Pelodiscus sinensis: one gene and its partner. The protein of the gene in region 1 interacts with the protein of each later gene in a pairwise test. Links are inferred from orthologs where the notes say so. Each region holds a gene or a part of one and is shown in the gene's direction. Other genes may lie near its edges.

What was found. The genes of interacting proteins can lie anywhere in the genome.
Region 2: the proteins of CHAF1A (region 1) and methyl-CpG-binding domain protein 1-like interact in binary tests that used the Homo sapiens proteins (3 or more experiments, as listed by UniProt). The link is inferred for Pelodiscus sinensis from reciprocal best matches to the Homo sapiens genes CHAF1A and MBD1.

What each region holds. Positions count from the first base shown.
Region 1 is NC_134729.1:22,504,892-22,511,909, forward strand, and holds the start of CHAF1A (chromatin assembly factor 1 subunit A), read left to right. Parts: upstream 1-4,016; 5' UTR 4,017-4,162; coding exon 4,163-4,169; intron 4,170-4,847; coding exon 4,848-4,898; intron 4,899-5,127; coding exon 5,128-5,942; intron 5,943-7,018. UniProt on the Homo sapiens protein: Acts as a component of the histone chaperone complex chromatin assembly factor 1 (CAF-1), which assembles histone octamers onto DNA during replication and repair.
Region 2 is NW_027465846.1:174,605-181,623, forward strand, and holds the start of methyl-CpG-binding domain protein 1-like, read left to right. Parts: upstream 1-3,967; 5' UTR 3,968-3,988; intron 3,989-4,320; exon of another isoform or gene 4,321-4,448; intron 4,449-5,402; exon of another isoform or gene 5,403-5,425; intron 5,426-5,795; exon of another isoform or gene 5,796-5,817; intron 5,818-6,199; exon of another isoform or gene 6,200-6,236; coding exon of another isoform or gene 6,237-6,310; intron 6,311-6,424; exon of another isoform or gene 6,425-6,759; coding exon of another isoform or gene 6,760-6,815; intron 6,816-6,949; coding exon of another isoform or gene 6,950-6,984; coding exon 6,985-7,019. Other genes in the region: CXXC1 (CXXC-type zinc finger protein 1), read left to right, coding at 945-994, 1,967-2,063, 2,168-2,320, 2,800-2,946. UniProt on the Homo sapiens protein: Transcriptional repressor that binds CpG islands in promoters where the DNA is methylated at position 5 of cytosine within CpG dinucleotides. Binding is abolished by the presence of 7-mG that is produced by DNA damage by methylmethanesulfonate (MMS).

The sequences.
Region 1 (7,018 bases):
CGGTTCAATACCGGACACCTGGCAACCCTACCCAGCACAGGTACAGGAGATACAGGACTAGACAGGCCAGACTGTAAGACAGAGGGACAGACAGAGCAGAAATTGAGAGGCATGTGGACAGCCAGACAGACGGACCATATCTAGAGTCATAGGCATGGGGCAATGGACAGGGAGACCACCAAGTTGCCGGAGGTGGAGCCTTCCAGATAGTCAGGCACCATCCACTCCCAAATGTTACAAAACTAATACAAAATTCCTGCCTCCACCGGCACTGCCAGGCTTCATTCCATGAGTCTCCTCTGTCATGTTCTTGCTCCACAAGTTTCTGGACTTGGAATTATGCCTCCTCACAGGTCTGGGGGGCTTCTGGATGCCTGATGTGAATGGAGCCAATCTGTAATGTTGCACTGCAAGGCCTGGGAGGCCCTCTGGTGGGCCCAAGTCTGAGCAACACACGGATTTGCCAGACAGCTTTTACTCCAGAGATGATCCTGTTCGCGTTAATGCCTTTACCCCAATAGCAGAGCAATAAACATGAGTAGCTCCCCTTAGGTTTGCCACACGTGAAGCCACCTGCCGTGAGCAAGAAGGGACAATGCCACCCAGCTTCACTCCTATGCCTATTGATTTTTCTCCCACCTCCATTGCATGGGGGCTGAGACCCCTCTACAATGGGGAAAGACTCTGTCGCCAGCACCCTGACATGCTGGGTGAAATCAGAGGTTATAAGTAGTTTATGCCATAATGTGGATTCCTGGATTCAAGCCACAGTTCCAATTGGATTCCTGCTTTAAGTGGAAAAATTCAGGTCACTTTGTAACTTTGCCAGACTAACAGTCTTGACAGAAATTTAGGAAATAAATACATAAGTACATAAATAAATAAAATGATGACACCCAAATCAAAACACGTCAGTCCAAGTGCTTAAAGTTTAAAGTTTAGTAAACTTATCAGCCAAACAGGGTCTTATAATGGGAACAAAATACAGGACACTGTAGCACTTTAAAGACTAACCAGATGGTTTATTAGATGATGAGCTTTCGTGGGCCAGACCCACTTCCTCAGATCAAATAGTGGAAGAAAATAGTCACAATCATATATACCAAAGGATACAATTTAAAAAAAAAGAACACATATGAAAAGGACAAATCAAATTTCAGAACAGAAGCAGGATGCGGTGGAGGAGGAAGGTAAATGTCTGTGAGCTAATGATATTAGAGGTGATAATTGCGGAAGCTATCTTTGTAATGGGTAAGATAACTAGAGTCTTTGTTAAGACCCCGGTGACAAATGGGATAATAGGCTTGCCTGTGAAACAGCCCTGCCTATAATATAAAAAATAGCCAATTTTCCAATATTTATTTTTTTAAACTAATAATTTTTCAGAGTGAATGTCCTAAAAGGTCTGTTTCTACCCATGACTGTAGCTATTCAGACACTGAGACAAAAGCTCTTTTAGTGCCAGAGCCAGATATTACCGCCGCAAATCTAAATCTAAATGGAACCTCAACTGGGAGTTACTGGTGGTGCCTTCAAGAAGCATTCTTCCTACTTGACTCTCTCATTGCAGTTTTCAGGATTCTCCCTGTACTGGTTCAGAAATCCCATTTCCCAGCATACATTGCTGCTTACTCGATACTAAAGGATCGTCTGCATTTGGATCACAAGCTGTGCTTATCTGACAATTTAAGTCACCTGCTTTGCTCCCGAAAAGCCTTCCTAAACTCGAAGGAGTGCCAAATAACCTCTAAGGTTTTCTGAGTTCTTTATGTTGTCTTGTATTCACTTTTCTCGGTGATTCTGGCTGCATCTGCGTTATGCTAGAACTTTGGCTAAACTCCACGTATGATTTCTTAAGCAAATGCTCATTAAAGTGTGAGCAGATGCCTTGATTGTTCGTGTTTGACTTCTGTTCTTTGTGGCCTTTTCAATAATATGAGGCCTATAGGACAGAGAAGCCTGCATTGGCAAAACTGACCTGAAAAATCAATTCTTCTTTCCTATGAGCAATAAACAGAAGATAAACTTCTGGATAAAGGAGTATATGACTATTTAGTAACACTTAGAATTAAATAATTAGCTTGATGTAAACAAGACCAAACACACCAGCAAAATTCATTCCAGGTAATTTCATATTCACACACCTACAATTACACACACCAGACAGTCCAGTCTGCGTTCACCATACTACATAATTTGTGTACATGTGTACTCACTCACAGTGCAGAGCTCCTCTACATAACTGCCCAGGAACTTGGGGTTGGTGCTGCAAGATTTTGGGGGTTTGTGCCAGTAGAAAACCAGATCCCCTTGTGATCTCCACTGGCCCGGTGATACTATACTGGCAAGGAGTGTTATCCAGTAACGTTCCACTCCAGTCATTTGGTACAGAAGATTATTTAAAGGATAGGTTACAAATCAGAGTTATTAATTTCACAATTTCACATTTGAGTTCTTTTTAGAACTCTTGGATGAATACCATCTGCTGTGGGTGAATGCCATCTGTTTAGTTTATCTATTTGTTCTAAAACCTCCTCTAATGACACCTCAATCTGGGGCAGTACCTCAGATTTGTCACCTAAAAAGAATGGCTCAAATTTGGGAATCTGCTTCACATTGTCAGCCATGAAGATTGATGCAAAGAATTCATTTAGTTTCTCTGCAATGACCTTATTGTCCCTGAGCGCTCCTTTAGCATCTCAATCATCCAGTGGACCCACAGGTTGTTTAGCAGGCTTACTGCTTCTGATGTATTTAAAACGAAAAATGCTATTACTTTTTTAGTTTTTTTGGCTAGCTATTTGTCAAATTGTTTTTGGCCTTCCTAATTATATTGTTACACTTCCTTTGACAAAGTTTATGCTCCTTTCTATTTTCCTCACTAGGATTTAATTTCCACTTTTTAAACAATGCTTTTTTTTAATCTCTCACTGCTTCTATTACTTGATTGTTAATCCATGGTGAAACTTTTTTTTATTCTCTTACTACATTTTTAAAATGTGGTATATACATTTAAGTTGAGCCTCTATTATGGTGTCTTTGAAAAGTTTCCATGCAGCTTGCAGAGATTTTACTTTTGGCACTGTACCTTTTAATTTATGATTAACTAACATCATTTTTATTCAGTTTCCCTTTCTAAAATTAAATGCCATAATATTGGGCTGCTGCAGGTTTTTTTCCCCTCACAAGAATATTAATTTTAATTATATTGTGATCACTATTTCCAAAAGTTCAAGCTATATTCACCTCATAGGCCAGATCCTTCCCTTCATTTAGGACTAAATCAAGAATTCCATCTCCTTTTGTGGATTCCAAAACCAGCTGCTCCAAGAATCAGTCATTTAAGGTGTCAAGAAATGTTACCTCTGCATCCAGTCCCAAGGTGACATGTACTCTGTCACTGTGGGGATAGTTGAACACTGCAGGAAAAAGTCCCCTAGCATAATCAAGGGAAGCAGCAGCAGGGAAGATTGCACACACAGACAAGTCTCAGAGCAGGAGCCTGTTAGTCTGTATCTGCAAAAACAACAAGGAGTCCTGTGACACCTTCAAAATGAACAGAATTATTTGGGCATAAACTTTTGCGGGTAGAAATAGCCCCAATGCATCTGACAAAGTGCTTTTTACTTAGGTCGTTTTATGCCCTAATAAATTTGTTAGTCTTGAAGATGTCACAGGACTCCTCATTGTTTTTGCATCCTCAGAGTCATTGCCCTGGGGGGGTCACACTCAGGGGGCGCAGGGCCCATAGCACCAGGGAGCAGAAGAGAGCATCTTCCACCCCTACCTGTACAGCACCAGACCCTCACCTGTGCAACCCACAGACCTAGCCCAGCCTGGCTGCTCCTCCAGCCAATCGTTGCCCTGACCTAGCATGGTGGCAGCTGTTTGCCCCAATGACATGCAATCTCCCTCAGCCAATAGGAGGCAGTCCAGTCTCACCCTCCCCCCCGCCCCCTTCCTGGAGCCGGCAGGAGAGGGGGGGGAGGAGTTCTCGCGAGGGTTGGCGGGGCCGCGGTCACGTGGGGCTCTCTGGGCCTATCAGCGTGGCGAAGCGTGGAGCCGCCGAGGCTCCCGCCAAATACGAGCGGGAGAAGCTGGCGCGCCCCGGTCCGCGCGGCCGGCGGGGGGAGGAGTCAGGGCTGCGCTCCGGGGCCGGGACATGGCAGGTACGGACCGGGCCCAGGGCTGCGAGCGAGGAAGGGGGAGGGGCGCGGGGCTGAGGGGGCAGGCGACGCCCCCGGGGTTTCCGTCCCCGCCGCCGGGGGGCTGCTCCTCACAGCGCCCCAGGGAGGTGGAACCCGGCTTCCCCCGGGGACGGTACCAACTCCGCGGGCGGGGGGACCTCGGCCCGGCAGGGGCCCGGGGCTCTGCTCCTGTCTCGGGGGCCTGGGGCGAGGCCCCCCCTGCAGAGCGCCCCGGGGTGCATGAGGGGGCGCGACCCGAGGGGGTTTGTAACCCCCCCCCATGGGTCGTGGGGACACCAGGGGGTGGTGAATGCAAATGGCGGGGGGGGGGCTGCCCTCTGAGGGGCGATGGCCCTGGTCACGCCTAGTCTCCCCCTTTGCGCCTTTGTCACAGGCCCCCGGCACCCTCCTTCTGGCGGTTCCCCCCATCGGGGGAGGGAGCTGAATTTCCCTGCACAGCAGGCCTGGTGCTGGTAAAACCTGTGCGCCTCAATCATTCACCCTCCTCCTCCTGGTCTGGTTGCCCTTCTCCATTTTTGAGAGGGATGGTCTGATCGCTAGTGATGCGGCGGGTGGCAGTGGTGTGATGTCAGTTTAATGTTTCCTGAATGGGGAAGAAATGTGAGCTAAACATCAATGTTGGCGTTTTTCTGCTTACAGCCATGGAGTGCAGAGACAAACCAGTTATTCCCATGAGGAAACTCGTACAAGGTAACTTTCAGGAAGTTCCTGACACAACGTGTTTTCTAAAATATTATACATCGAGTGTTGCATAGACTTGCTAAACCAGCCAATTGTGTTCGGTATATGTAGTAACGTAACCTGTTATGAGTTGAAGGATTGCTTGTACTTTTAAAAACCCATCGACTCCCTCTATTTGTAGTTTTCCCTCTGCTGATTTATATGACTTTACTAAAGTAACAAAATCTTACTATTTCAGCACGGTTACCTTTCAAGCGTTTGAATCTTGTACCAAAGGAGAAGTGTGACGCAGGCATGGAAGTTAAGAAAGCAAAGAGCTCGCAAGATGTTCTTGGTCAAAATAAAGATTCCACTCTTGATACATCACATGCGTCTTTGGACAATATGGAGAATGATTGTCAGTTGGATTCTGAAATGCAGTTCACTTCCAAACTTGTTAATGGAAAGGGTCCGTTAGATAACTTTTTACAGAAAAACATAAAAAATAACGTGAGAGAAACTGTACTCATATTTGACTTGACACAGGACTCTAACGACACTGATGGCCTAGACCACAGTAAATTAAATCCAGAAGCATTTTCATCTATAGAGACAACTAATGGTACGAAAGAAGATACAAGTCCATTTAAGCCCATTCAGAATGCCCAAGTGGATGTTCCAATGGATACCTGTCCGCCCTATGAAGCTACTGCAGATAAGGATGAAGATTCAATAGATACAACCAAACCCTGTTCTGAATTATCAAATATGCAGTGTAATAATATGGAGAATAAGAGGGCCAATCAGAGTGAACTCAAGAGTGTTATATTTGAGGGGAAAATGCCTGTAGTAGTTCTGGAGGATATTATGATTGCAAGGTCTCCCCAGGCTGTGTCTTTGGAAGAAAGTATGAACTCAGAAAATGAGACAATGGAATCTTCTCCTGAAGGAGACTCTATACTTACTAATTCCTCATTAAGCTCCCCCTCTTCTATCAGCTCACCTGAGACACAGCCTGCCCCAGGGAACAGGAGTGATATTAGTCCATTAGCTGCTTCAATACCTGTCCAGAAGGTTGGTTTTTTAAAAATATTTGTTTCATTTCTCTAGCTAGTAGGGATGTAAAAATGCATTTATTTTTTTAAATGTGTAACTGCTGAATTTTATAGTGGTTACATGTTTACATGAGGGAGGGGGAACAGGCAGGAGCTGGTGCTCATGGGGAGCCAGCTTAAAAGCTGGCTCCCCATGATCACCAGCTCCTGCCTGCTCTTCTTCCCCCACCCCACCATGCTCTGTGGGAGGGACAGGTGGCTCTGTGGGAGCTGGTGTATGCGGGGAGCTGACTTAAGAGCCGGCTCCCCACACACACCAACTTTCACAGAGCACCTGCGCTCTCCTTCCCCGCCATCTCTAATACAGAGGCAGTGAGGGAAGAACCGGTGTGTAACCATTAGGATTAACCAGTGAGCCCAGACTGCTTGGTTAATGACTACACATTCACATCCCTAATGGTTAGTTTTTGTGGTGGGAGATCATACTATCCTAGGATTTTTTTAATCACTTTGTTCTGCCATTTCAGGTTAAAAGTCACAAAAAGAAATTCTGAAAAGTATTGTAAGTTGATATATCCGTGCATCTTAAGCTATATATTTTAATGTTATCACAGGTATTTTACGACTTGGTCATGAAACACACCCTCTGACTTTACACCTGGGTATAATATGATGAGTAGTCCTGTGGCACCTTAAAGATTAAAATAAATATATAAGATAGATAAATAGTATCATGAGCTTTCATAGCAAAACCCAAGCTCCTGATACTATAAATATTTTTTAGTCTAAGGTGCCACAGGACTACTTGTTTTTTAAAGTTACAAGACTAACATGTAACATTATACCCTTGGACTGGGTATAATATGTGAATAAATAGCAGTGTCCAAAGAGAATTGTCTTTTTGGGAGATTTTAAAATCTTTACCTTTTTGAAGTGGTCAGAAGTGCAAGTACTCCTACATATACAGGATTGAATTTTAGGTTATGGAAGAAGCTGCTCATGGGTGCAAAATACTGCTTTTAGAATATTTATGTAAAATTGTTTGAAGGATAGAAAATGCTCAAACTGAACAATATAACTGCAAACCCCTGCGCT
Region 2 (7,019 bases), on another chromosome or scaffold:
CCCGGCTGAACGAGTTTTCCATGCGGCTGTTCTACAGCTACCCCGCCCCAGAGCTGGCTGCATCGCCCGGCTGAACGAGTCTTCCCCGTGCCGCGTTCCATGCGGCTGTTCTCCAGCTACCCCGCCCCAGAGCTGGCTGCATCGCCCGGCTGAACGAGTCTTCCCCATGCCACGTTCCACGCGGCTGTTCTCCAGCTACCCCGCCCCAGAGCTGGCTGCATCGCCCGGCTGAACGAGTCTTCCCCATGCCACGTTCCATGCGGCTGTTCTTCAGCTACCCCGCCCCAGAGCTGGCTGCATCGCCCGGCTGAACGAGTCTTCCCCGTGCCGCGTTCCATGCGGCTGTTCTTCAGCTACCCCGCCCCAGAGCTGGCTGCATCGCCCGGCTGAACGAGTCTTCCCCGTGCCACGTTCCATGCGGCTGTTCCACAGCTGCCCCGCCCCAGAGCTCGCTGCATCACCCGGCTGAACGAGTCTTCCCCGTGCCGTGTTCCATGCGGCTGTTCTACAGCTACCCCGCCCCAGAGCTGGCTGCATCGCCCGGCTGAACGAGTCTTCCCCATGCCACGTTCCACGCGGCTGTTCTACAGCTACCCCGCCCCAGAGCTGGCTGCATCGCCCGGCTGAACGAGTCTTCCCCATGCCACGTTCCATGCGGCTGTTCTACAGCTACCCCGCCCCAGAGCTGGCTGCATCGCCCGGCTGAATGAGTCATCCCCGTGCCGCGTTCCATGCGGCTGTTCTACAGCTACCCCGCCCCAGAGCTGGCTGCATTGCCCGGCTGAACGAGTCTTCCCTGTGCCGCGTTCCATGCGGCTGTTCTACAGCTACCCCGCCCCAGAGCTGGCTGCATCGCCCGGCTGAACGAGTCTTCCCTTGTGCGGCATTGCCCCATCTCCCTCCCGGTGCACTGATGAGCCCTATGTTCTTCCTTTTCCCCACAGTATGAGAGCCAGACGTCCTTCGGATCCATGTACCCAACCCGCATAGAGGGGTGAGTCCCGGGGGTGGGGAGAGGAGGGACAGGGCGCTCACTCCAAATCCATCCCCCCTGGGACCGTCTGGGCTGACTCTGTCCATCCTCCAAATCTTCCCCCAGCAACCTGAGCCCTTGGGTCCCTCACCATATGGTTCCCCCGCTGATTCCCCCCGCCGCCCTGCCGCCCTCTCCCCTCCACCGTTGCAGTGCTCTTGGGTCCCACCCCGCTGCGATTCCCTGCTGGCTGTCGCCCGCTGTCTCTGCTTCCTCGCCCGTGCGGACTCCTATACCCGTCGCGTTCGCGGGGACCGTGCGAGTCCCCTAGGCCGGCCCCAGCCACAGGCCGGATTTGTTGTCCAATGGCTCCTGCCTCGGCTCAAAACCCCCCAGCGAAGGCGCTTCCAGGACCTCCCGAGGCCTCGTTTCTGTTGTCCTGCTGCTCTGACGCGACCCCTCTGAATTCAGCTCTGTCCCCCAAAGCATTGCCAGCCTGACCCTCGCTTTGCGACGTCGCTAGAGTGCCTCAGCGTGCGGCCCGGACCCACCGCCAGGCGGTGAAGAGATGCTGCGCACCAGGCCGAGAACAGCCCCACACGGGAGAGGAGTGGGGCCTAAGGGTTAGAGCAGGGGGGCTTTGGAGCCAGGACTCCTGGGCTCTCTCCCTGGCTCTGGGAGGGGATTGGGGCCTAAGGGTTAGAGCAGGGGGGCTTTGGAGCCAGGACTCCTGGGCTCTCTCCCTGGCTCTGGGAGGGGATTGGGGCCTAGGGGTTAGAGCAGGGGGGCTTCGGAGCCAGGACTCCTGGGTTCTCTCCCTGGCTCTGGCAAGCAGCATTGAACACACGTGCCTCAGTTTCCCTCCTAAACAATGTGGCGATGCTGCCTAGATCTTCCTACAGCCATGGATTTCCCGCCTCCCCTCCAGGCAGCTGGTTGCAGCCTCTCAACCAGGCATTGTGTTTCCCTCTCCTCCACCCCCCCCCCCCACAGGGCCACCCGCCTCTTCTGTGACGTCTACAACCCTCAGAGCAAGACCTACTGCAAACGGCTGCAGGTGCTATGCCCCGAGCACTCCCGCGACCCCAAGGTGAGGGGCACGGGCTGCCAGTGGGGGGGCAGGGTGGGGGGCTGGCCGCCAGGGGCAACATGAGCCTGACTCCCCCCCCTCCCTCCCTCCGGTGCTCTCCCCAGGTGTCGGTGGACGAGGTGTGCGGCTGCCCCCTGGTGAAGGACGTCTTCGAGCTCACGGGCGAGGTCTGCCGCGTTCCCAAGCGGAAATGCAACCGCCACTACTGCTGGGAGAAACTGCGCCGGGCCGAGGTGGACCTGGAGAGAGTGCGCGTGGTACGGAGCGGGGCTGGCCCGCAGGGGGCGCTCTCCCTGGCAGGCAGGGCCGTGCACGCGGGGGGGTGTGTCAAAATCTAGGTGTCTCCCCTCCCCCGCCATCTGTGATTCCTTCTGATCTTAGAAATTCCCCCCTGCCCCACATCCTTCCCCTCCCCCTTCCTGATGCAGTTGGTTGTCACTGTGTGGCTGTTCTCCAGCGGCCCCGCCCCAGAGCTGGCTGCGTCTTAGGGTCCGGTGAGCCATTGTGGCGTTATATGTGGCTGTTCTCCAGCGGCCCCGCCCCAGAGCTGGCTGCATCTTCGGGTCCGGTGAGCCATTGTGGCGTTATATGTGGCTGTTCTCCAGCGGCCCCGCCCCAGAGCTGGCTGCATCGTAGGGTCCGGTGAGCCATCCCCTTGTGGCGTTACGTGCGGTCGTTCCCCAGCTGCCATGCCCCAGGGGCCGCCGCGTGTAACAGCTCCCCCTGCTGTTGGCAGTGGTACAAGCTGGACGAGCTGTTTGAGCAAGAGCGCAACGTGCGCATGGCCATGACCAACCGGGCCGGACTGCTAGCGCTGATGCTCCATCAGACCATCCAGCACGACCCGCTGACCACAGACCTGCGCACCACCACTGACCGCTGAGCCAGGTGCGTGGCTGGGGCAGGGGTACTGGCTCCCATGGGGCCTAGGGCAGAGAATGGGGCTCGGGGCCTTTCCTCGTGGGGGGCCAGCTCTCCTGTGGCTCCAGGGCGGGGGAAGGGCTTCTGCCGTCTAGGGGGCACAGTCTCCCATGGGGCCGCAGGAACTGGCTTCCTGGGGGGAGGGGTGCTGGGCTGCCACGCTCCCCTAACTGTCCTCTCTCTCCTGCAGGGCCGACGCCAGACGTGGTGGATTTTTCTGGACCCTCATTCTTTTTTTAATGTTTTTTTTAAACTTTTATTTTTTCTTTAAAAAACAAACAAAACAAAAAAAAACAAAAGGAAGGAAAATGTAGCAGAGCTCTGAGTATGATCCTGCGCTGGCCCCCACTCGCTTCTCCCCCATCTCTGGGTGGGGCTTCTACTTCCCCTCCTGCCCTGCCCCCAACCCCAGGCCCATCATCTCCCCCGCCGGCCCTTGCCTGCCCACTCCATCCCTCCTGTTTCCGGCTTGTCCTTTTCCACGGCTCTGGCACCCATGGGTGTTCCTCCAGGCATGGGGCTGTATCCCAAGATACAGAGATACGAGTTCTGCTGGGGTGTGGGCAGGGAGAAGTGGGGGGGGGGGGGAATGAATGAGACGGGCCTAATAAAAACCAAGTTTCAAACAGAAGCATCCTTTTCCTGAGATCTGTGCCTCTGGGGGAGTGAGTTCAGAGTGGAGAGCTGGCCTGAGCTATTCCCCCCTCCCCTACCTTGGGACAGGGAGGTTAACCTGCAGCATGCCACCTTGCCTGCCCTATTCCCCTGCTCCACCAGACCCTGCGGCGGGGAGTCCCAAAGGTTAACGCTCTGGCCGGGCTATTTATCCAGCGGACCCTGCAGCGGGTTGTTCCGCGGGGTAACACCCGTTCCCATAGCGGGTTACGGGCCTGAGATTACCCCCCCCCCGGTCATATTTGCATAGACCCGCCCTCTGGGCGGGGCCTAGGCCATATCAGCCCGCCCCCCTCAGCTGACCCCGCGTGGGCCGCAGCGTGGAGCAGGTGGGAAGCGGCGGGTCGGGGGGGACCCGGGTCTCTGCCCCGCGCGCCGCTTCCACGTGAGCCCCCCCCGGCCCCTCGCCCCCAACAGCCCCCCCGCCCCCCCACAGCCCCCCCGGTCCTCTCCCCGCCCCCCCGCTACCCCACAGCCCTCCCCCACAGCCCCCCCGCTACCCCCCATCCTCCCCGCCCCCCCGCCCCCAACTCCCTCCCCGCCCCCCCGGCTGCCCCCAAGTCCCGCCCCCCAACCCCCCCGCGGCTGCCCCCTCCTTTGCCCCCCCAGCCTTCTTATAGGCCCCGCCCCCAGGCACGTGACCGCTCCCCCCCCCCCCCCCCCCCCCCCCCGCTTTCCGGTTCCGGTTCGAGCCCCGCGCGCCGCCCGGGCTGCGGCCGCTGCTGCGCCACGAGCGGGGCCCGCGGGATGGAGCCGCCGGCGCGGGGGGGGCCCGGGAGCCGCCCAGCGGTGAGGGGGGGCGGGGCCGCGGGAGGGGGCGGGGCCGGGGGGCGCACTCGGGGGGCGGGGGCTGGGCCGCGCGGGGGGGGCCCTTAGGCAGGAGACCCCGGGCCTGGGGGGGGCTGGGAACGGGCGTTGGGGCTCCGGCCCCGCTGAACCCCCCCGCCCCCCCATCACACTGCCCCCCCCGCTCCCGCTGCCCCCCCATCACACTGCCCCCCCATCACACTGCCCCCCCTCCCCGTTGTCCACCTGCCCCCCCAGTCCCGCTGCCCCCCCGTTGCCCCCCATGTTCTGCCCCCCCGGTCTCGCTGCCCCCCATTGCCCCCCCCCGCCGTGTCTGCCTTGTTTATGTCCCTCCTGCTCTGTGCTGCCTGGGGGGGCTGGGGGGGGGCGGTGCTGCCAGGCCCCTCCCGGCGCAGTCGGCCGGTGCTGGCCGGTGCCTGGCGGCGCTGCCCCCGCTTGGGGCCGAATGGACCCGCGGCTCCCTAGAGCCCCCCGGGGGCGTTTTGGGGCCCCCCCAGCCCGGGAACGTGGCACAGCTGGGCCCAGTGCGGCAGCCGCGCGTCCTACGGCGCCTCTGCCAATCGGCGCAGCCCCGCAGGGCCCCTGCGACCTGCTAGCGCTCGGGGGGTGCCCCTCGCCCGCTGGGCCCCCCCACAGCTGGCCGGCCTGGCTCTACCTGGACAGGCGCTGCGCTATGGTGGCACCAGGTGCACGGCTCAGGCCTTCTCTGGGGGGTTGGCCAGTGGCCCAACAGGCCTGCGTGTGGCCTGGCTGCGATCGGGGGGCGGGGAGGCGCCCTGGCTTCTCGGCTGCCGCGGGGCCGTCTGTGCGGTTCCTGTTGGCCCCTCCCCCGGGCGCCCGAGGGCCCCTGTCAGCTCCCGGGGCCCGAGCTGGGCTCGGAGGAGCCCGCCTCTGGCAGGTGGCCCCAGCCGGAGCTGGGTGGCTTGCGTCTGCGACTCGGCTCGTGACGTGGGGCTGAGGTTTGTGCCCGACACGCTCGGTGCGTTTTCTCGGCAGGGAGAGGCTGTCGCAGCTCGGGCTGGAGCTGCCAGTTTGCCAGTTGCTCAGGTCTCACGTGGTGTGGGCTGAGGGGGGGGGGGGGGAAGTCGTCATTCCCTCCCCCCCCCCCCACCCCGCACGAAAAGGGAAAACAAGGGGGTTGAAACGTGTAGGCCGGCCTGGTGTCTCCAGGCCAGCGCCATCCTCTGAAATGGCGTTAAACGGCCGTGAGGAATTGGCTGCCTTCCCGGCGGGAGGCAATTGCGTGGCCCTGCGGGCTTGCCTGGCACAGAGGAAGAGCCGCACGGTCCCCGGCGCTGGCTGCCTCTGGGACAGGCCCGCTGGGGAATAGCAGGCGCCGAGGGGCGGCCAGGTTTGGAGCGCAGGGCGGGAAAGCGCCGCGGGTGGCAGGCTAGTCTGGCGCAGGGGTGCAGCTAGGTCTGGGGTGAGGCCGCTGGGGAAACAGCTGCACGTAACGCAGCTCGGGGAGAGCTCGCTCGGCCCTGAGATGCAGCCTGCTCTGGGGAGAAGCAGCCAGGGACCGGTCACGCACGGCGCCGCTGGGAGTGCCCTGCTGGAGCGTTGCCGTTGGGCGCGCTCCCTTATCCGAGGGGGCAGCGCCGGGCTGGAGCGACTCCCGCTGGAACGGGGCCAGGCGCTGGAGCGCGAGCGTCCGGCTGGGCCTCGCACTGACCTTGCAGCCGTGCAAGCCGAGCGGCCGTGTGGGTCCTTATCTCCTCCTCCCCTCCAGGGTCCCGGGACTGGCCGGATCCGGCCTGGCTGGGGACGCTCATGCCGAGGGCCCCTCCGCCAGGGAGCGGGGCCGCGGGGCCTGCGGAAGGAGCCGTGCTCCCAGCCCGAGCAGTGTGAGTCAGGCTCCCCGTGGGCGCTGGCTCCCAGCCACTCCCTGAGCAGGGAGGGAGGAAGGACACATGCCTTCCATCTGGGCTGCTGCCTCCGCCTTGGTGGGCGCCGGGAGCCCAAAGCCAGAGCCCTCCTGGTGGCCCTGGGGAGGCGTTATGTGTGGCTGTTCCTGGCTGCCCCACCCAAGAGGTGGCTGCATCTCCGTGCTGGGCGCATCCTCCAAATGCCTTGGCTGCCCTGCCTGAGCGATGGCTGCCTTGTAGCGTCAGGAGAGCCAGGCCGCTTCGGCTCCATGTGGGGCTGGTCGCCTGTTTCCCCGCCCCAGAAGCGGCTGCATCTCCGGACTGTTGCGTGCCTGCGGGTTGTACGGAGGGACGGGGTTTTCTGCATGCGGCGCCTCCTGCGTGCTGGGATACGGCCCCTCGCCAAGGAGGGTGGCGTCAACTAACGGATGGACCAGGAGAGTCTCCTCAAGCTGCGGGAGTGGGGCCTAGTGGTTAGAGCAGGGTGCGTGGCTCTCTCCGCGGCTTGGGGGCGGTGGAGTCAGAGCCAGCCCAAGTCCTGGCGGGGGGCTGAGTCGGCCGTGCCCCCCCTTTCCTGCATCCAGCCATGCTGACGCCCCCCCGTCTCTCTCCCTGCAGTAGCTGCTCTGCCGCCGCTGCCCCGGCTCAGCGCCATGTCGGAGGGCTGGCTGGACTGCCCCGCCCTGGG